Linked DNA regions of Macaca fascicularis. The main gene of each other region encodes a partner of the protein of the gene in region 3 in a complex. Links are inferred from orthologs where the notes say so. Each region holds a gene or a part of one and is shown on either strand. Other genes may lie near its edges. The genes, in order: TAF11, TAF10 and TAF6.

Region 1 (3,650 bases), on a different chromosome or scaffold from region 3:
GGTTTTCTCTCTGAAAGCAGTTCTCCTGTCCAGAAGATGCCTACGGCCCATACATCTTCTTCCAACTGGCCAAGACAGTTAAATACTTCAAAATGCCCCCAAGAGGTCCCAAAATTTAGTCAAGGCAAGTATCAATCAGGCTACATACTTTCTAGGTGTGACAAATATCAGAGTTTTGAGAAAGATGTTAAAATCATCATGAAATCCTTGGAGGCCTGAGATACTAAAGCACCAGTGCAGACAGTCTTCTAGGAAGTCTGGAACCAATACTTCTTCCATCAGTAATACAGGCCTTTCTAGACTTTGGTCTAGAAGAAGATGATTTTTTTGTGCTTCGAGTTAGGGATCTGTCCCTTTGACTTTAACCTTCTAACGGCTTCCCTCATATGTTTGGGTTGTAGTGGTGGCATTTCTCCCCACTTCTCACATACATCCAGTGCTAAACAGAGGGTAAGGAGAAAGTCTGATTATCATACAATAATTTACTAATCACATAATCCTTTTGAGTCCTGTAATTCTCGTTAACTTTTCTTAAGCTTGCTAAGGAAATAAACCAAAACATTTTTCCTTTTTAAGAGAAGATTTTTTTTTAGTATAACATCTCATAACAGGCTTTATCATAGACAACAGTTTAAAATATATTTCCTATAGGCCATATGCTGTGGCTCATGTCTGTAATCCCAGCAGTTAGGGAGGCCAAGGTAGGAGGATTGCTTGAGCCCAGGAGTTTGAGACCAACCTGGGCAACATGGCAAAACCTTGTCTCTACAAAAAAATTTAAAAATTAGCCAGGGGTGGTGGTGCACACCTGTGGTCTCAACTACTCAGGCTGAGGCAGGAGAATCACCCGAGCCCAGGAGCTCACTGTTGCAGTAAGCTGTGATCGCATGATCAAGGCACTCTAGCCTGGGTGACAGAGTGAGACCCTGTCTCAAATAACTATATAAAAATAAAAATTAGCCAGGTGTGGTAGTGCATGCCTATGGTCCCAGCTACTTGGGAGGCTGAGGCAGGAGGATCCTTTGAGCCTAGGAGTTTGAGGTGGTAGTGAGCTATGGTCACACCACTGTTACCATCTCATTTTGTACACCATCTAAATTTGTGATTTGTAAAAGGAAACATAAAAAATATTAAAAGAAAAAATAAAGATCACGCCACTGCACTCCAGCCTGGGCGACAGAGCGAGACCCTGTCTCAAAAAATAATAATAATTTAAAAGTATCTATCTCCTGCTTAAAAAAATAAATTAAAAAAAAAAAAAGATTTCACCAGTCAGAGTAGCAATGGGAAACAGCCAGGCTTTTTACTCAATAAAGGGGGCAGGCAGTTCCCAGGGAGCACAACATTAGGGACAACTCACCATCCCACACAGGTCAGCCCTGTGATTGCTTTTCTTGTATCTTTACTTTTGGCAGCAGAAATGAGCAAAGTCCACTGCAGAAAATACAAAGTCTACTTCTGTCACCCTGGGCTGAGGAAAGGAATCAGGGAGGGGAGTCCCAGATGGTTCCTTGCCATCTGTTATTGAAACTTGCAAGGAATAATGGTCATTTCTCCTGAATACAGGGTTCCCCACTTGCTCAACTTCAAATGCAAATGAGAACTCCCACAGGTGCTTTAATAAGCTCCTTTGTATAGATATTCTTAAAAATAAGACCACCGCAGTATTTGTAACCAACACTACTCACCTTCTTCTACCACCTCCCCGACGAAAACCTTGGAAATACCAGACATAGCAATAACAACATTCTGAGACACAGAGGTGCCAGTGATGGACTGGATCAGCTTGAAAGAAGGAGAAAGACTCCGTGACTACAATAGTCAAAGACTGGCTTTGGAACACAGTACCAAATAATTCACAGAAAAAGGTAAGATAACTGAGGTGCATTTTTTTTTCCCCACTTAAATAATCCACTGACTTGTCTAACACCTCACTTCAAATGCCAATGGACATGGCCCTTGGGTTCAGTTCTAAAACATGATGGAGATGAAGTGTGGTGGTCTATCCTTACCCTTTTGATGGCTGCCTTAGGGAAAGCTGAGCGGCGATACATTTCGTAACGGTTCAGCTGCTCCTCAGAAAAAGAAGAAACCAGGATTCTAAACAAAGATCCAGGTAACTAAGTTAACTTGTAAGAATGAATACTAAAGATATTATTAAGTCAATAAAAGTCTCAGACAATTCAAAAATGAATTCTTAAGGGGTCAATAGCATTAGGCTTGGTGCCTTGAGGAATGAAGATAAAATACTTCTACTCCAAAGGAATTTGAGAAAACATAAAATAAAAACTTCTTTTCTTACCTGTGAACAAAAAGAACAACATTGGGTCACTGTATCCTACTATACAGACTGTGTTTTCAGCGTTAGACTCTACCTTACTGAATTTCACACTGATGGTGTTTAATATACAAATTTATGATCAAACCAGTAGTTTTCAACATTAACAGATTTAGGAGAAATATCTGCAAAATATGTGGAAACAGGTAATACTCCTAATGTATAATTCTTTCAAACAAATAAAGGGGCCATATCAATTTTTGAAAATGAACAAAGTATATGAACAGGAAATTTACAAAAATACCAATGGTCAACCAACATGGGGGAACAACATTATTAACTAAGGAAATATTATTTTCATAGATAACATTTTTCATAAATCAGACCACTATTAAAAAAAGAATGGTATTAGAATATGGGACACAAACTCACACATGCTGGCAGAGTGAACTGCAACACCTTTTTGGAGAGAAATTTGGAAATACATATGAAAAGCCTTTGAAAATGTTCATACTATTTGAATTAGCAATTATACCTCTAGGAGTTTATCTTAGGAAGTAATGGACAAGTATGCAAAGATATGTCCAAAGATCCTCATCATAATGTCAAAAGTACAAATACCCAACCAGAACCACTACAGGGACTGGTTAAATTATAGTTCAACAACATAATGGGATTCGATTGTAGCCATTAAAAATTATGATTTATGAGCAAATTTACTGACATGAAAATATTTAGCTATACATATCAAACATCTAAAAAAACTTTGAAAAGGTACATACCCAAACACTATACCCAACTATATACTTAGAGTGAACTCTGCCTGGTGAGTTTATGGGTAATTTTTTCTATTTTTCTGTATTCTCTGAATTATTTGCAATGAGCCCATACTACTTTTTACAATCAGAAAATGTCATAAAGCTATTTCTATTTTTAAGAAAACTATGACCTAGGCAGGGTGCGGTGGCTCAAGCCTGTAATCCCAGCACTTTGGGAGGCCGAGGTGGGTGGATCACGAGGTCAGGAGATCGAGACCATCCTGGCTAACACAGTGAAACCCCATCTCTACTAAAAATACAAAAAAAAAAAAAAAAATTAGCCAGGCGTGATGGCGGGCGCCTGTAGTCCCAGCTACTCGGGAGGCTGAGGCAGGAGAATGGCGTGAACCCGGGAGGCGGAGCTTGCAGTGAGCCGAGATCATGCCACTGCACTCCAGCCTGGGCGACACAGCGAGACTCTGCCTCAAAAAAAAAAAAAAAAAAAAAAAAGAAAACTATGACCTAGATGTATAATTAGTGACATGGAAAACATTCATCATATCTAATGTGAAAAATAGGCTATGAAACAGTATTTGACATTTGTGAAAAAAACA
Region 2 (3,189 bases), on a different chromosome or scaffold from region 3:
CACAAACCTTCGTTGCTATTTGTTCCTAAGTAACAAATCATTTTTCCTCCTCCCTCCCCAAACCCCAAGGAACTCTCACTCTTGCTCAAGCTGTTCTGTCCCCTTAATACTACCCCTGATACAAACTGCCTGGTTAATTTCCAGAATTCTTACAAGATTCAGCTCAGAAGTCACCTTCTCTCGTGAATGTTTTGATTCCCTGAGGCTACTTCATTTTGCTATGGCTGAAAAATCCTAGATTTTCTAAACAAAACCTGTTTGAATCTTGGTTCTGATATGGACTGGGAGAGAGACTGGGTCAAGCAAGTTTATCTCCCTGAGGCTGTTTCCTCGTCTGTTAAGTGGGAATATTACCTGCCTTTCATAATCACCAGGGAATAAAGTGGAATAATGTTGATAAGAGTACTTGGCACCTGGAAGTAGGTGGCAGATGTTAATGCCCTTCCTCCCTTGCACTGCGACCCCTGTGTCTACCTCTAGTATTGTAACGACCACATAGTATTGAAATAGCCACTTTACTTGTCTGGCTTCCTTTCCAAGACCGTTGGTGCCTAGAGGACTAGAATCGTGTTCTATTTAACTTTGTATTCCCAGGTCCTAGCTCAGGAGTTGGCAAATAAGAATTAAATATCTGCTACATTGAAAATCTCACGCCTTTCACTCGTTGTGATTTTTGCATACGTTGTCGACTTAGGCTGAAACCCCTCCTCCTTCTACAGCAGCACTGTGGGCCGCCCCACTGCTGCCCCCACCTCTCGGGGCAGTTGGTGGAGAAGGGCGGGGGGCTTTCCAAATCCACTATGAATCCTTACAAGGCTGAATAAGGGAACTTGAAAGGATGCAGACAGGCAGGCAATCCGCAGTCGAGGGATGTAGGGCCCATAAACCTCGAAGCAAGGTCTTGAGCGTCAGACAGAATGAGGTGTCCCAGAGCGGCGGAAGAGTCCCGGACGCACGCTGCTTCTAGTCTCGACGGAATCGCCACCGAGCACCGCAGAGGCTAGGGCGGAATGGCGACGGCAGCGCAGTTCGCCAAGGCTTGGTCTCCGCCCTTCAGCCTATTTCCTCTAACCCGCAGACCCACTACCAGAGGAGGCGGGGAGCGGGCTGGAGAGCACTAACAGTGACAGGCGGGGCGAGTCGAGGGCGCGTGACGTCACCCCGGGGTGTGCGCGGCGCGAGCGGAAGCGGAAGCGGCTCTGTTCGCCGCCTCTCCCACCGGCCCGATGAGCTGCAGCGGCTCCGGCGCGGACCCCGAGGCGGCGCCGGCTTCCGCCGCCTCGGCCCCGGGCCCGGCACCCCCGGTCTCGGCTCCCGCAGCGCTGCCCGCCAGCACCGCTGCGGAGAACAAGGCCAGCCCCGCGGGGACAGCAGGGGGGCCTGGGGCTGGAGCAGCTGCTGGGGGCACGGGACCCTTGGCGGCGCGGGCCGGGGAGCCAGCTGAGCGGCGTGGGGCGGGTGAGGGCCTGACGGGTGAGGGCGAGGGAAGCGTCTGGGACTGGGCCCAGCGGCGGGTGAGGGCAGCGGGTATAGACAGACCTCGCTGGGGCCCTGCGCCTCCCACCTCTGTGTCTCATTTTGCTGGTTCTCCTCCAGCTCCGGTGTCGGCGGGTGGCGCGGCGCCCCCAGAAGGGGCCATGTCTAACGGGATTTACGTACTGCCGAGCGCGGCCAACGGAGACGTGAAGCCGGTGGTGTCCAGCACGCCGTTGGTGGACTTCTTGATGCAGCTGGAGGATTACACGCCTACGGTGGGCTTCCGCCCGAACAAGGCCACCTAGCCTGCTGTCACAACTTTCAGCCACATCTCCGTGCTTTTCAGCACCCTCTGATGTTTGCTTCCGTAGTCGCTCTTGTTTTTGCCCTCTGCTCACCCAAATCGTGAGCTTCCTGATAACCAGGTCTATCCGACATTTCCCTCACCCTCATCCCACTCTGCTGACAGTTCTCTTAATTGATTTCTTAGATCCCAGATGCAGTGACTGGTTACTACCTGAACCGTGCTGGCTTTGAGGCCTCAGACCCACGCATGTGAGTAAACCCAGGGCAGGTTAGTTTTGGGTGCTTGTGCAGTGTGTTGTCCATCTCCTTCTCATCTAAGTTTTTTCTCTCTAGAATTCGGCTCATCTCCCTAGCTGCCCAGAAATTCATCTCAGATATTGCCAATGATGCCCTACAGCACTGCAAAATGAAGGGCACAGCCTCCGGCAGCTCCCGGAGCAAGAGCAAGGTGTGAGGGGAGGCTCATTGAATCACTAATTACCTTCCACAACAGTGGAAGCTTATCCTGCCACCCCTTTGGGGAAACTGAATCCTAGGGGAGGTGTAAAACTTACTCAGGGTCACCCATCTGGGATTGAAGTGTGGGATTCCTGTGCTCAGTTGGTGCTCTTCCCTCTTCCCTCAGGACCGCAAGTATACTTTAACCATGGAGGACTTGACCCCTGCCCTCAGCGAGTATGGCATCAATGTGAAGAAGCCGCACTACTTCACCTGAGCCACCCAACCTAAATGTACTTGTCTGTCCCCATGTCCCCACACCAGCCTGTTTTCATAATAAACTTTATTGTGACAGGCGGGGCTGATCCCTCCCATGTTGGGAGACACCATGTGGCAAGTGACAAAGCTCTGAGCCCGCCCCTTTTGGGGCCACAGTGGTAGGGATGGGGGAAGGGGATGGACCCCATGGCTGGGGTAGTACCATGACTGGAGGCAGGGGAGGCAACCAGAGGTCTGCTGCTTTGGGGAAGTACATTCCCCCAACCATGTCCTGACACCTCTGGAGTTCAGGCAAGGGCCTTCCGGTCCTACTTGTCCTGCATCTTCTCCAGGATAGGCACAATCATGTCAAATTTGGGTCGCTTTGCAGGGTCTTCGTTCATGCAGATCTTCATGAGCTTACACACATGAGGGGAAATACCTGGTGGGATGGTAGGCCGAAGGCCTTCCAATGCCACCTGTGAATACAAGAAAAAACTGAGCCTCACAATTTGAGTCTGTCATGTAGAGAGAAGCCACTGGCCCCTGGGACAGGATAACTGTATATCCGAACAAATATGGGAGGAGCCCAGGCCCACTACAGTTATTTTCACCATAACCAACCACTCCCCCAACACAAATGTATGCTGTTCTGCTCTCACCTTCATTCCAATCTCCATATTGGAAAGATCAGCAAAGGGTACCTCCCGT
Region 3 (3,650 bases):
GCAGCCTTGAACTCCTGGGTTCAAGCAGTCTTCCCACCTTGGCCTCCCTAGCAGCTGGGACCACAGGCACATGTCACCACTCCCAGCTTTTTGTTTTTCGTAGGCGGGGTCTCGCTACATTGCCCAAGCTGGCCTCCTAGGCTCCCAGAGTGCTGGGATTACAGGCGTGAGCCACCACGCCCAGCCAGCCCCCTTATTTTTTACTCAGCTTGAGTCTCAGTCTTTCCATCTGTAAAATAGTATCAGACTTTGCAGTATGTTCTGAAAACAGGAGGCAAAGATGGGAGTAGGTGAATAAAATACGCCATATGCTTGCTAAACGCCGGCTGTCTCTCGGGGGGTCGGGGGCGCAGGTGCAGGGACAGGGGCTTCGGTTACCAGCAGAAGGCTCTGCACATGGTCTGCTCCAATCCGGTCAATGTTGCTCAACACAGGGCCGTCCAGCACACTGCGGATCCGCTCCCCTTCCTGCTGTAGCCGGGGCAGAATCAGAGTCTTGATAACCTGTTGGAAGGGAAAGGAAGAAACCAAAGCCGGAGGGTCACCAGGGTCTCCCAGGTGGGGGCACAGTGCCCTCTATAACCTCATGACTGCGTCCCCTCCCCCATTTCTTCCTCCCAGAGGCCTAACATCGTGTCCCAGCTCAGCCAAGCCTGCGATGGAGCCATAACGAGTCGTCCAGGGCGTCTTCTCGTCCACCCAGCTCTGTAAGGGGAAGGAAATAAACTAAGATGAAGGGGTCTGAAAGGATGATTGATAGGGACCCACGTCTTTCATAGACACTTTCCTTGTAAATCATTAAGACATGACAGTGAGGCCAGGCGCGGTGGCTCACGCCTGTAATCCCAGCACTTTGGGAAGCTGAGGCAGGCAGATCACCTGAGGTCAGGAGTTCAAGACCAGCCTAGTTAACATGGTGAAACCCTGTCTCTACTAAAAACACAAAAATTAGCCAGTTGTGGCCAGGCACAGTGGCTCACACCTGTAATCCTGGCACTTTGGGAGGCTGAGGCAGGCAGATCACCTGAGGTCGGGAGTTCTAGACCAGCCTGACCAACATGGAGAAACCCCGTCTCTACTAAAAATACAAAATTAGCTGGGTGTGGTGGCACATGCCTGTAATCCCAGCTACTCAGGAGGCTGAGGCAAGAGAATCGTTGGAACCCAGGAGGCGGAGGTTGCAGTGGGCCGAGATCGCATCATTGCACTCCAGCCTGGACAACAAGAGCAAAACTCCGTCTCAAAAAATAAATAAATAAATAAATTAGCCAATTATGGCTGCAGGCACCTGTAATCCCAAGTACTCAGGAGGCTGAGGCAGGAGAATTGCTTGAACCCAGGAGGCAGAGGGTGCAGTGAGCAGAGATCGCACCACTGCACTCCAGCCTGGGCAAGAGTGAGACTCCATCTCAAAAAAAAAAAAAAAGGCATTACAGACAAGCCTCAAGGCCCTTAGAGCCCCACAAGTTCCAGTCCCTCTTCCCTCTGCCCTTGTTTCCAGTGTCACTTCCCCCAACCAGAGGTGGCCAGTGATGAAACCAATGGTGCTCAAGTTTCCCTGGCTCACCTTGGTGAAGGTCTTGGTGATTCGGGACTGGATGTTGTTAGTGGTTGTGCTAAAATGCTTGCAGATCTGGGCCACCAGGCGGGCAGCAAAGTCTCGGAGTGCCCAGTGATTGTCCACATCTGGTCGCAGGCACAGCTGTCTGCTCACGATGCAGGTCATCACAGCCGGAATCAGCTCATGGACCTAAGGGAGAAAGGGCGGGGCAGCTGATTCTGGTTTTGTTTGTTTGAAACAAAGTCTCACTCTGTCACCCAGGCTGGTGTGCAGGGGCACAATCATGGCTCGCTGCAGCCTCAATCATCCAGGCTCAAGCAATCCTCCCATCTCAGCTTCCCAGGTAGCTGGGACCACAGGTATGCACCACCATGCCTGGCTAATTTTGTTTTTGTTATCTTTTTTTGTAGAGACAGTAGTCCTACTACTATCCTCAGGTTGTCCTCAAACTGCTGAGCTCAAGCGATCCTCCCATCTCGGCCTCCCAAAGTTGCTGGGATTTCAAGTGTGAGCCACCGCTGACCACTGACTTCCTGTTGGTGGCAGCAGGGTCCCTGGTCCCTGGAAGGGAAGGTGGGCAGGACCACTCACGTATTTTTCTAGATAGAGCGTGGGGTTGTCCATCAGCGCCTTCACCATACGCATCAGGTAGATGAGTAGGGCCAGGTTGTTCTGAACCACATTCACACGGACCTGCGGGAGGGAGGAGTGCTGGGCATGGGGCAGGGAGACCCTCACAGGAGCTTCCGCTGCCGTCCCTGCACAGTGGAACCTCATGCTCTCACCCCCTCCGAGATGAAGGTACTGAACCGTGGCAGCATCTGATACAGCCCGGGGTCCGTGGCAATGCTTTGCAGGGCTTCCTGTGGGAGGAGGGAAGCCAGTCAGGTGGGGGTAGGATGTGGGGAGCAATTCATAGGACCCCCAGGAGGAGGAGTCTCAGGGCCAGGGCAGGCTGGTGGGGCCCTCACCGCCCTCTTGGCCTCGCAGGAGCCCACACAGGCCTCGGTGATCTCCTTGTAGTAGAGCTGTTGCTCCACAGACAACTCATGGATGCTCCGGGGCTTCAGTCGCAAGGGGGCCCCCTCCAGCAAGGGCGGTGCCTTCTTCTCTTTCCCTGTGTGATTGGAGAGGTGGGTCTGACAAAGAAAGCTCCAGAAGAAACCTCAGTAACAGAAGAACCTTAACCCTCCACTTCCCCTGAGACTCAGGAGACCCAGCTTCTTCTTAGGCTTCCCCATCCTTTCTGGGGCTCTCTGGCCCACTTCACCAATGGCCACATGGAGGCTTGGCATGGTGGCTCACACCTGTAATCCCAGCACTTTGGGAGGCCAAGGCAGGCGGATCACATGAGGGTGAGTTTGAGACCAACCTGGCCTACATAGCAAAACCCTATCTCTACTAAAAAAAACTACAAAAATTAGCTGGGCGTGGTGGTGGGCACCTGTAATCCCAGCTACTCAGGAGGCTGAGGCTGCAGTGAGCTGAGATTGTGCCACTACACTCTGGCCTGGGTGACAGAGTGAAACTCTGTCTCAAAAACAAAAAAAGGATACAAAACAAATGGCCACGTGGCTTTGGGCAAGAGTACAGAGAGGCCTGGCCTAGGAGGACTGACCTTTGCCGTCAGCTGCGGTGGCCCCTTGACCTTTGCCCTTCAGGGGTCCGTCTTCCTCTTGGCCTGGCTTGGCTGACTTCAGGGGTTCTGTGGCTTCGGCCTTCTGTTGCTCTTTGGGAGCTGGTGGGAAAGCAGGCACAGTGGGAGGCGTGACGAGAGTAGCAGGAAAAGTAAAGGGAGGAGGCTGGATGCGGTGGCTCACGCCTGTAATCCCAGCACTTTGGGAGGCCAGGGCGGGTGGATCACCTCAGGTCAGAAGTTCGAGACCAGCCTGGCCAACATGGTGAAACCTCATCTCTACTAAAATTACAAAAAATTAGCTGGGCGTGGTGGTGTGTGCCTGTAGCTCTAGCTACTCAGGAGGCTGAAGCACAACAATCGCGTGAACCCAGGAGGCAGAGGTTGCAGTGAGCCGAGATTGTGCCACTGCAGTCCAGCACTCCCGCACTCCAGCACAGGCAACAGAGTGAG

The links.
Region 1: TAF6 (region 3) and TAF11 share a complex: the UniProt entries of both Homo sapiens proteins name them as parts of the TFIID basal transcription factor complex. The link is inferred for Macaca fascicularis from reciprocal best matches to the Homo sapiens genes TAF6 and TAF11.
Region 2: TAF6 (region 3) and TAF10 share a complex: the UniProt entries of both Homo sapiens proteins name them as parts of the TFIID basal transcription factor complex. The link is inferred for Macaca fascicularis from reciprocal best matches to the Homo sapiens genes TAF6 and TAF10.

The regions. Positions count from the first base shown.
Region 1 is NC_088378.1:136,813,144-136,816,793, reverse strand, and holds part of TAF11 (transcription initiation factor TFIID subunit 11), read right to left. Parts: intron 2,101-3,650; coding exon 2,013-2,100; intron 1,786-2,012; coding exon 1,689-1,785; intron 440-1,688; coding exon 309-439; 3' UTR 1-308. UniProt on the Homo sapiens protein: The TFIID basal transcription factor complex plays a major role in the initiation of RNA polymerase II (Pol II)-dependent transcription.
Region 2 is NC_088388.1:59,467,003-59,470,191, forward strand, and holds TAF10 (transcription initiation factor TFIID subunit 10), read left to right. Parts: upstream 1-1,201; 5' UTR 1,202-1,226; coding exon 1,227-1,473; intron 1,474-1,596; coding exon 1,597-1,751; intron 1,752-1,966; coding exon 1,967-2,031; intron 2,032-2,115; coding exon 2,116-2,230; intron 2,231-2,407; coding exon 2,408-2,497; 3' UTR 2,498-2,577; downstream 2,578-3,189. Other genes in the region: scaffold protein ILK, read right to left, coding at 2,808-2,957, 3,141-3,189. UniProt on the Homo sapiens protein: The TFIID basal transcription factor complex plays a major role in the initiation of RNA polymerase II (Pol II)-dependent transcription.
Region 3 is NC_088377.1:48,763,768-48,767,417, forward strand, and holds part of TAF6 (transcription initiation factor TFIID subunit 6), read right to left. Parts: intron 3,300-3,650; coding exon 3,180-3,299; intron 2,679-3,179; coding exon 2,533-2,678; intron 2,425-2,532; coding exon 2,347-2,424; intron 2,255-2,346; coding exon 2,153-2,254; intron 1,751-2,152; coding exon 1,568-1,750; intron 706-1,567; coding exon 631-705; intron 505-630; coding exon 379-504; intron 1-378. UniProt on the Homo sapiens protein: The TFIID basal transcription factor complex plays a major role in the initiation of RNA polymerase II (Pol II)-dependent transcription.